Cricetulus griseus: one gene and its partner. The protein of the gene in region 2 interacts with the protein of the main gene of each other region in a biochemical or structural test. Links are inferred from orthologs where the notes say so. Each region holds a gene or a part of one and is shown on either strand. Other genes may lie near its edges.

The links. The genes of interacting proteins can lie anywhere in the genome.
Region 1: the proteins of Wasl (region 2) and Pfn1 form a complex in vitro, tested with the Homo sapiens proteins (2 studies listed by BioGRID). The link is inferred for Cricetulus griseus from reciprocal best matches to the Homo sapiens genes WASL and PFN1.

Annotation. Positions count from the first base shown.
Region 1 is NC_048600.1:84,463,720-84,468,348, reverse strand, and holds Pfn1 (profilin-1), read left to right. Parts: upstream 1-1,439; 5' UTR 1,440-1,590; coding exon 1,591-1,722; intron 1,723-3,118; coding exon 3,119-3,311; intron 3,312-3,882; coding exon 3,883-3,980; 3' UTR 3,981-4,229; downstream 4,230-4,629. UniProt on the Homo sapiens protein: Binds to actin and affects the structure of the cytoskeleton. At high concentrations, profilin prevents the polymerization of actin, whereas it enhances it at low concentrations. By binding to PIP2, it inhibits the formation of IP3 and DG.
Region 2 is NW_023276806.1:202,726,560-202,731,498, forward strand, and holds the start of Wasl (neural Wiskott-Aldrich syndrome protein), read left to right. Parts: upstream 1-1,922; 5' UTR 1,923-2,125; coding exon 2,126-2,233; intron 2,234-4,939. UniProt on the Homo sapiens protein: Regulates actin polymerization by stimulating the actin-nucleating activity of the Arp2/3 complex. Involved in various processes, such as mitosis and cytokinesis, via its role in the regulation of actin polymerization.

The DNA of each region.
Region 1 (4,629 bases), on a different chromosome or scaffold from region 2:
CTTTTCCACCCCGGGGCGGGAGGCGCGCAGGCCGGAGGTCAGGGGATGGCGGGCGTAGAGCGCCGCCACGTGCCCCGGCGCAGCCCCGCCGCCTGTGACTCAGCCACGCGGCTGTCGAAGAACCTGGGCTCGGGGGGCGTGGGAAGCCGAGGTTTTGGGGGTGGACAACAGGGCTCCAGAGACACAGCGAACCAAGTCCTTTCACGGGGGGGGGTCGACAAACCCTGGCGCCCCTCCTCAGAGGGACCGGAAGCGGCCGAGCCCCTCGGCGGCAAGGGTCCCGAGTGACGCACTGACTCCCGCCAGCCACACCGGCTTGCGGTCCTGTCCGCTCCCCGACCCCCCGCCCCACCCCACCCCACCCCACCCCACCCGACCAGCGCTGGGCGGCTAGTGAGCTGAACGCACACAGTACTTGGCAAAAGTTTTACGGGTTTTGGGGAAGAAAAGGCCAATGGGCGCAAAGTAGAAGGGACTTTTCTCCCTTTCTTGTAAAAGTTGCCATCCTGGGTACTTTCGTATTCTTCCGCCTTAAAAAGAGTCCCGCCTGTGTCACCCGGCTGGCGCCCCAGTTCAGTGACCTCCGTGGAGAGGGTTCAGGAGTAGGGCGAGGCTCTGAGCTGGAGCGGATCCAGCGGAGGAGTGATTCCCCTGGAATATAGGGATGCACTCGAATAAGCCCCATGTGCGTCCCCGGCAAACGGTTGGGACAGGTGCCCTGGTTGGGGGGGGGGGGCTTTATCACTGAGACTGACCAGAGTTATATCAAATCTAGTTTTGCTCCCTTTTCGTCTAAATAAAAACTAAGAAGCGGAGAGGGCAGCAGCGCGGCACCCAGGGCCGCTGCCCGCTCCGCCTGGTGGGGACGCGCCTTCCACCCGAGGAAGAGAAGGTCCACATCGGTGGCGGCCGCCGCGCGCTCGCGCAGCCAGCCAGCCGCTAGCCCCAACCGCCCCACGCGCCGTCCCCTCGCCGCCCCGGCGCAGGCGCGGGCGCACGCGCCGCCGCCGCGCCGCGCCCGCCGTTCCTGCCCTCCCGCGGAGGTGTGTGTGTGTGTCTGTGAGGGAATCATTCGTTTTAACCCTGGGTTCCCCGCACCCACTTTTAATTTGCTCAACCTCGCTAATTCCCCTTTTTTCTCTCCCGACTTCCCCCTTTTATGCCGAAGGGGTTTGCATTCAGTATGAACCGGAGCGAACCCCAACCTTAACCTCGCTCCTGCCACCACCACCGCCACCACCACTCCAGCACGGCTTTCCACCGAACTCGGCACATTTTGCAAAAAGGGGGGGGTGGGGAGGGCTTCTTAAAATTGCATTTGCAAAAGTTCGCTATCTGGCCAGGCGGGGGGAGGGCGGGGGGCGGAGGGAGGGAATGGGGAGCAGGCCCCGCCCCGCCGCCCTTTGCAAATAAAAATCTAGGGGGGGGGGAGGAGCAGGAAGTGGCGGTGCGAGGGCTGCTGCACAGCTAACAGAGCCGCGTTCCGGACGGCAGCGCGTGCCCCGAGCTCTCTGCCTCCCCCCGCCCGCCAGCCCGAGCCCAGCCCGCGGCCCCAGCAGCAGCCCGCAGAGCAGCCCCAGCAGCAGCGCCATGGCCGGGTGGAACGCCTACATCGACAGCCTCATGGCGGACGGGACCTGTCAGGACGCGGCCATCGTAGGCTACAAGGACTCGCCCTCCGTCTGGGCCGCCGTCCCCGGGAAGACCTTCGTTAGCATTACGGTACTGCGAGGCTTGTGCGGTCCGGGGCATCGGCCGGGCTCAGACCCTCAGGGAGAGACTTGGGTGGGGGCGGGCGCAGTCTAGCGAGGGCAGCGAGAGGGCCGCGATCTGGTCCTCGGTCTGGAAGCCGCGCGAATGGCGGCTGCATGAATCTAGGTCCCCGTGTCGCCCCCCAAGCCCTACGCCCCTCGGCGGCGGCGCCCATCCCGCCCGCCACCCCGCTTTCTGCGACGGGGCGTTACATCCGGGGCACAGGGCGGGGAGGGGCGCGCCGCCCGGTGCGGCGGCCCACTTCCGCCTCCTCCAGGGCGGGGCAGGCACGCGCTGCAATTTTAGCCTGGGATTATGATTGATAAGGGGGCTTGGGCAGCCTCGGCTCCCCTTTGGGCCGTCTGCTCGCGCTCCCTTGACCATTGTTTCCCTTATGCTGGTGGGAGCTCCAGGCGCGTGGCCTTGGGCCCTTGCCCGACCTCCCTCCGTGAGCTCCCTGCCCCTCCCAACTCCGTTAGAGAGGGCGAGGCCGCCACACACTCACACACACACCCCCAATTCTGCACGTTAGCCTCAACATTCCTGTGAGGCCGATCCCGGAAGTCCCCTCACCCTCCCTTCCCGCCATCCGGCCGGGCCTGGAGTAGGGGAACTTTGTGAGAAGTTCTGAGATGGTAAAAGTGAAGGAGTAAGGTTGCAGCTGTCCCCACCACCACCTTCCCTGGCCACACTGCCCGGAAGTGGGGAGGGGGAGCGGAAGTTCGAATGGGGGGGAAGGGGATTTCCGGGCGGGAGGGTACCGGATATAGGGGTTTGGGGTTTAAGGGGGGAGAAGGAGAAAGGTTCCCCGGGATGTCTAGACTCAAGACAGCCTAATCCTCCAACCCTTAAAACTTTTTCAACTGTCTTAGAAAGCTTCCAGGGGTCGGCTTCCTCATCTTGGGGTGTAGATACCTGGACCTAAACTCTTGGTTACCGGGAGACCCAGGCGTCCGGGCTCCTAACAACGCCTGCAGAACCTTTGACCAAATAAGGACAAAGTTGCTTCTCCTCCTTCCCTGCCCCCTCCCTCACCCTCTCCGCTTCTGCTTTTCCTGAAGGGACTGTTCTGAGCATCCAGATGCTCCTCTCCTGGATCAATGATTGGTTTTTGGTACCCAGGTTTTTCTCCTTTGCTTTCCTATTTCACATCAAGATCTGAGTCTTCAGAGAAATCCTCCTTCCGTGGTCCCATTATCAGGCCTTAGGATCACGATCTTTCTCTGCTCCAACCCCCCCCCCCCAAGTTTTGATGGTGTGTGTGAAGCACATTGATCCCCCAACTCCAGGATAAATAAGTGGGTTCTTGGAAAACAAGTTAGACGGTGCGCTAACTTAATAAGGTGATTGATTCTGATTCTTCTAGCCAGCTGAGGTTGGTGTCCTGGTAGGCAAAGACCGGTCAAGTTTTTTCGTGAATGGGCTGACACTCGGGGGCCAGAAATGTTCTGTGATCCGGGACTCACTGCTGCAGGATGGGGAATTTACAATGGATCTTCGTACCAAGAGCACCGGAGGAGCCCCCACCTTCAATGTTACTGTCACCATGACTGCCAAAAGTGAGTTTCTCAGTTTGACCGGTTCTCTAGTTTTGAACTCCCTGATGTATCTCCTTTTGTTAGTCATTTGGGGTGAAGATTGCAAAACAGTATTATACTTGCAGTCTGCTGGATATGGGAACCTTGGAGAGTCCTTTGGGTTCTGCTGAAGATTCCCCATCTTGTAAAGAAACTAAATTACATTACTTCCTAAATCCCTTCCTGCCTTAAGCTTTTTTGAGATTAGTTTGCTTGGTGTGGATGGTTGAGATCTTAAGTCAGCATTTGGCTCCAGCCTTGAGTTCTGTAAAAGCGAGGTAGAAAGCTCATCCACAGTGGTTCCTAGCCACAGCAGTCTGCAGCCTGTGACCTCTAAATTTTGCCTTTACTTTGCTAGTTCTTTTTTTTTTTTTTTCTCCCCCTCCTTTGAAAAGCTCTATTGTTTTAGGGTGACTGACAGCCTGTCTGTGGGGGGGGGGAGCTGGTTGGGAGGAATGAGGTTAGGTTACAGCCCCTAGGGTTGGACAGCTGCTGAACAGCTGGCAGGGTTGAATTGACACCTGGGTTCTAGCCTCCTTTCTCTTTCCTCCAGCGCTAGTCCTGCTGATGGGCAAAGAAGGTGTCCACGGTGGTTTGATCAACAAGAAATGTTATGAAATGGCCTCCCACCTGCGGCGTTCCCAGTACTGACCTCATCTGTCCCCTCCCCCACCACCCCTTCAGCTTTTGCACCCCTTCTTTCCATACACACACACACACACACCATTATTTTTTGGGCCATTACCCCATTTCCCTTATTGCTGCCAAAACCACATGGGCTGGGGGCTGGGGCTGGACAGACAGATACCTCCCCTTACCCATACCCCCTCCTGTGTGTGTTTGGAAAAAAAATTTGTTTTTGGGTTTTTTTTTTTTTCTTTTTTTCTGAATAAAAAAGATTCTACTAACAAGGTCCTGTGTGGTTTGCACTTGGGGTATTAGAGGACAGACACTGTGGCCCATCTCCACTGAGATTAGCTATTTGTTTTGGCTGTGTCCAGACTGAACTTTTCGTGTTGCTTTGCATTTTTCTGCTTTTTAGCCCCAGGGTCTAAGTAAGCATTCTTCCATGTACCCAGTCTGGTGGCCTAGGCTCCTCTAGAGTGGTGTTTCCATTTCTGTCCCAGTTGAATTTATGTGTAATGGAACACAGCCATCCAGACTAGAGAATGGGTCCAGCCTGAGGGTGAGGCAGGGCCTTTGAGTCATCCTGTGTAGGTGGGGCTCCCCCTCCCTGAGTCATAGCAGATGCAGCTGGGGCTGTCCCCCTGACAAGTTCGTCTCATGAGGTGATTCCTTT
Region 2 (4,939 bases):
TCATAATGTAAATATCTGATACCTGTGGGGGCCAGGACCCTCAGGTTGAGAACCACTGCTCTACTCAAAGAACCAATTAACAGATCATAAGCAATGATGGCAAATGACAGGCAGGATTTGAGTGACCACTGAGTATCAGGTTATCTTACTTTACAGTTCTAAAGTAGGTGTTACTGTCCCAACTTCTACTATATTAACATTATGAAAGAGCAATTTCATTTTACAGATGAAGAAAGTGAGACAGAAAAGATCTAACAGGAACTTTAGCCTTGAACCAACTGCAGCCTATGTTTTTGGATACTAAAATTCACATCACGGCTGAATCATGTCCCAAGAATTTCTGATGATCTCAGTTGTCACTGTGCTTTGAGTTAATAAGAGGTGTATTTTTAATAAAACATAAACTGACATAAAGTGGTTTGCACCTCTACTTGTGCCTTTTTAAAGCCTAATTATCTTATAGTCTTCGCCACTTTTTTTGTCTTTGCCACTTTTAAAGATTGTCCCCTTAAAATTATGATTTGTTTAATTTGAAATATCTACATATTATGTGAGTACTCCTAAGAGTGTAAGATCTCATCTTCCTTTGTAGACTTCTTCCTGGTCACCTAATTTCACTATGGGGATTGTAGGCAGCCTGAAAACTTTTATATTTTCATTACTTTTGGTAATGGTTTACCAATGCATTGAGAGTTATCATGTCATAAAATTTTAATATGCAAGTGTTTAATTGAAACTGAATGATTGGAGAACATCGTTAGTACAATTTATGTGATAAAGTGTATCCTTAATTATCCTTAATGTGAAGAATGGTGAAATGTACATTTTATATAACTCGATGCAATCTGATTTATCATTTCTATACGCCCAAGTTTTTAAATACTGTTTTTTTTTTTTTAGTTTTCCATTCAACCGTATTATTTTATAATAACTTCTGATATTCTGAAACACAGTCATGAAGAATTCTCCGTATTGACTTGTGCTGGGAATGTAGATCAGTTGGCTGAGTGCACCCCAGGCCTAGGTCCCAGCAACTAGAAAAATTAACTCGAAAGGATAAAACAGGTAAGGCATAATCCTGTACAGGAATTCGAGACTGAGGACGATGGAGAGAGGGTTAGTTTCCAATTCACAAGATAAGAAAAAAAAAAAAAAAAGTGGCATTCGGGGCTCGTCGGAAAATTCGAGTGTAAATACTACACACACTTATCCCACGAGATCCGCCAGGCGGGGGGGGTGGGGTGGTGGACGTCTTTTGAAAGCGGGTCCGATTTTGACATCTATGAAGACGCCTCCCCTGATCCTGGCAAAGGTCTGTTCCTCCGCCCCCGCCCCGCCCCCAGTGGCAGCCTGTCGTGAGTTCGAGAACCGGGGGGCACCTGATGGAGGCTCCGCCCGCAACCACGCTGGCCGACCTTTGCAGCTAATCTAGACCTGCCAGGAGGCCTGAGAGTCCCACTTCGCTAAATGTCAAACCCTGGCCACCACTGGGGCGGGAGGACGCGCGGCCCGGTGCGCGCTGCGGTAAGGCGGTGCGCCGCCGGACTCTGCAGCCCCGCCTCGGTCCGACTCTGCGCACGCGCGAGGCGGCCCCGGTCCGGGCTGAGCGGGTGCGCGGGCCTCCGCTGGCTCCCGGAAGGGGGTGGGGCCTGCGCGGCCACGCCCCGGCTACCAGCAAGCGAGAGGAGGGGTGTCCGGCCGCGCCGCGTTTCCGGCGCGCTCCCCCGCGTCCCGCGTCCCGTGGTCTCGCCCGCCCCCGCTGCCATGTTGGATTGTGCGGCAGCCGCCGCCGCGCCGCCGCCGCAGAGGAGGAGGAGTCGCCGCGTTAGCCGCCGCCGCCGCCGCCGCGCCGCGGAGTGCGAGGACGACGACCATCCGGCCCGAGGCGAGCCGGGCGGGAGCCGGGAGCTTCCCTGTCGGCACGCAGTCCGCGCGCGCTCGCCCGCCGTCGGCTCCTTCCTTCCTTCCTTCCCTCGGCCTCCGCGCAGCGGAGGAGCGGCGGGATGCTGCGCCGCCTGTGAGCGCCGGCCCCGCGCCCCTGTCACCCCGAGCGGGACCGAGTGAGTGAGTGCTCGCCCACCTCCTGAGGAGACAGCCCTGGACGCGGCACCCCGCCGGCGACACCATGAGCTCGGGCCAGCAGCCTCCGCGGAGAGTCACCAACGTGGGCTCCCTGCTGCTCACCCCGCAGGAGAACGAGTCGCTCTTCTCCTTCCTCGGCAAGAAATGTGTGGTCAGTGAGCCGAGCGAGACCCCTGTCGCCACCCACCGCGTCCCCGGGCGGGCTCGGGCCGGGGCACTAGAGAGTTAGGAGGGAGAAGGGGGCGGGCGGGCGCGCGCGGCCGGGGTCCCGCCGCGGGCCAGGCCTCCAGCTCGCTCGCCCGGGCCCGGGTGCTGCCCCGGGTGCAGGCCGCCCTGCCCGGCCCTGCCCGGCCGGGAGCCGCCTCCCTGAGCTACTGGAGAACCAGGGAGTGTCACCTCTGCGGGCCTGCCCAGAAGTCCAAGTCGGGGTCCGCGCCCTTGCTGCAGGTTCAAACTTTACTCTAGACCACAAGGGAATTTTTCTGGGTGCATCAGTAGCTTCATCTCCCAACGGGAGCCCAGCCTTGCTTTACTTCCTACTTGTGGATCTGGGCTGTCTTCGTTAACAATGCTCGGGGCTTTAGGAGTGAATAGATGCGGGGAGGAGGGGAGAAGCGCGCATCGGCTTTATCGATCCCCCCTTTAGGATTCCGTGAGAAGGGTAAAGTGGAGTGCAGGTTCCCGGACACCGGCTCAGAGCGAGGAAGGGGCAGGAAATGCGCCTGCACCCCACTGCAAAGAAGCAGGGCTTATTTCCCCAGCGTTTGCGCCTAGGCCTAGTTTCTGCACTCCGCCCCACTGTTTTTTGTTTTATTTTGGTTTTTTGTTCTTTTTTTTTTTTTTCTTCCTTGCATTGGTAAGAGAGAGTGCTGCTCTCACCGCAGCCATGCATAGAGACGCCGCAGTTTCTACTAGTTCCTGGCCATTGGAGTCAAAAGTGATTCTGAGTTTGGTCCTGTGGGGCCAATCCCAACCCCAGATGGCGGATTGGGAGCGAGTAGTTCTGTGGGAAGGGGGAATGCCTGTTGTTGACGGAGGCATTCACGACTCGCTTCTGGGGCTGGAAGGCTCTCCCTGGTGAAGGCCTTATCTTGGTCTTACTGAGGTGACTCTTGAGTTGAAAGGGGGATTGTTAAAATACTGACTAGTCTCTTGCTAACACCCGCCGAGTGTGTGCCCCTGGAACCCAGGAAACACGCTGAGAAGTTTCAGCTGAGTAGGACCATTTTATATTTTTCCTTAGCAATGTTAGATATGTCAAACCAGACTACACCTGCTTAAGAAGTTAAGAGTAGACAGTTTCTGGAAAGTTACCAGCTTAATTGTTAACTTTATGAGCTTACTTTTTATATCTACTTCTGGACTTAAGATGTATTTCTTGTTCAAAAATTTAGACTTTAAAGAACACCAAGTCTACAACCAGAAGTAGTAAACAGTTTCAAGAAAGAAAGAAAGAAAGCTGGGGAGACAACTTTAAAAATGAAAGAAGTCCTTCCTGGTATATAGTATTTTAAACAAAAGAGAAAGTGGAGCCCTTGGCCCCAAGTCACAGTAATTTAGGAATGTAACTGGAACTCTATGTCTAGTCCCTTTGTACTTTCCACTACAGCATGTTGTTTCTTGAGGATTTTTCCCCCTTAATAATTTGGTTGTCAAAGTGGTGTTAAGGGAATAACTACTTCATTTTTACATAGAATGGATATCATTAAAATGTGAGTTTCTAAAAACAATGTTTTGCATATTTTCAGTTTGGGAAAGTCTCCAGCTTTTTTTTTTTTTTTTTAATGAGCTGCCTGCAAACAGGGCCAACTTTGTTGGTTTATTACATTTAGTGTACAATCTACCAAAAGTTAAGGAGCTTTCTGTGTTCACATACCAGACCCATGAATTCCAGGCATGGAGGACATTGCATGTATGTGCCTAGTGTACTCATTGCTCAGAGCTTAACTGTAGTGTTTACCCAGGGTTTCAAGGAAATGACAGACGTGGGAGTGTATTTTGATAGACAAAGATAGCATGGCTCACTGTAAGCATAAGTAGGTTGCTGAATTGGTTGCAAGCAGTCAGCGATGAATTTCTTTACGTCATATATTATTAATCAACTTTACCTTTTGAATTGTTGTAATTTAAAACCACATTGTTGTTGCCTTCTCTTGTAAGATGAAATTGTGAAAATTAAACTTTGGAGATTTTGGTTCAATCGAGAGCAATGTAAACTCAATGTTTTGGAATAATTTTTATAGACTTAGGCTCCCTTTTTTTTGTTTAAAACAACAGTGAAATGCATTGTCTCATAAATCAAGCAGTAGAGTTACAGGTCAGATCAAATGTAGTAAACTGATACATTCAGAGCTCAGTCTATGAAGTCAAGGCATGAAACTAGTTATACGGTGCCGGATTTTAAGCAAGTTCTTCATCCCTTGTTTCATCAAATAAACATGTATTGAGTAACTGAACGTTGAGGTCAAAAGTCAAGATTGATGCTTGCCCTCGGGGAGTTTAGTGTCTGATGAAGGAAACAACAAATAAACTGATGAATAAGTCAGTACTTAAGAAATAAATATGCAAGAGGCGCCTGTCACAAGCAGGATTCTAGGTCTGTAGTCAGGAGATGTGGGTGTGTAAGCTCAGAGCTTGGCTAAGCCCCTTCACTCTCCTGTTCTGTATTTGCTTTTCCTACCTGTTAGAGTGCTGTCAGATGGAGTGAGCGTGTTGGTTAGGAATATATACAGATGTCTGAAAACCTGTTATAAAAGGATGGGAACTCAGGGAGATGGATGGGAGAGTAGATAAATGAAAGCTTCATAGAATCAGCAATACCTTAATAATATTAACAGGTTGATAAAGGAAGTGCTTG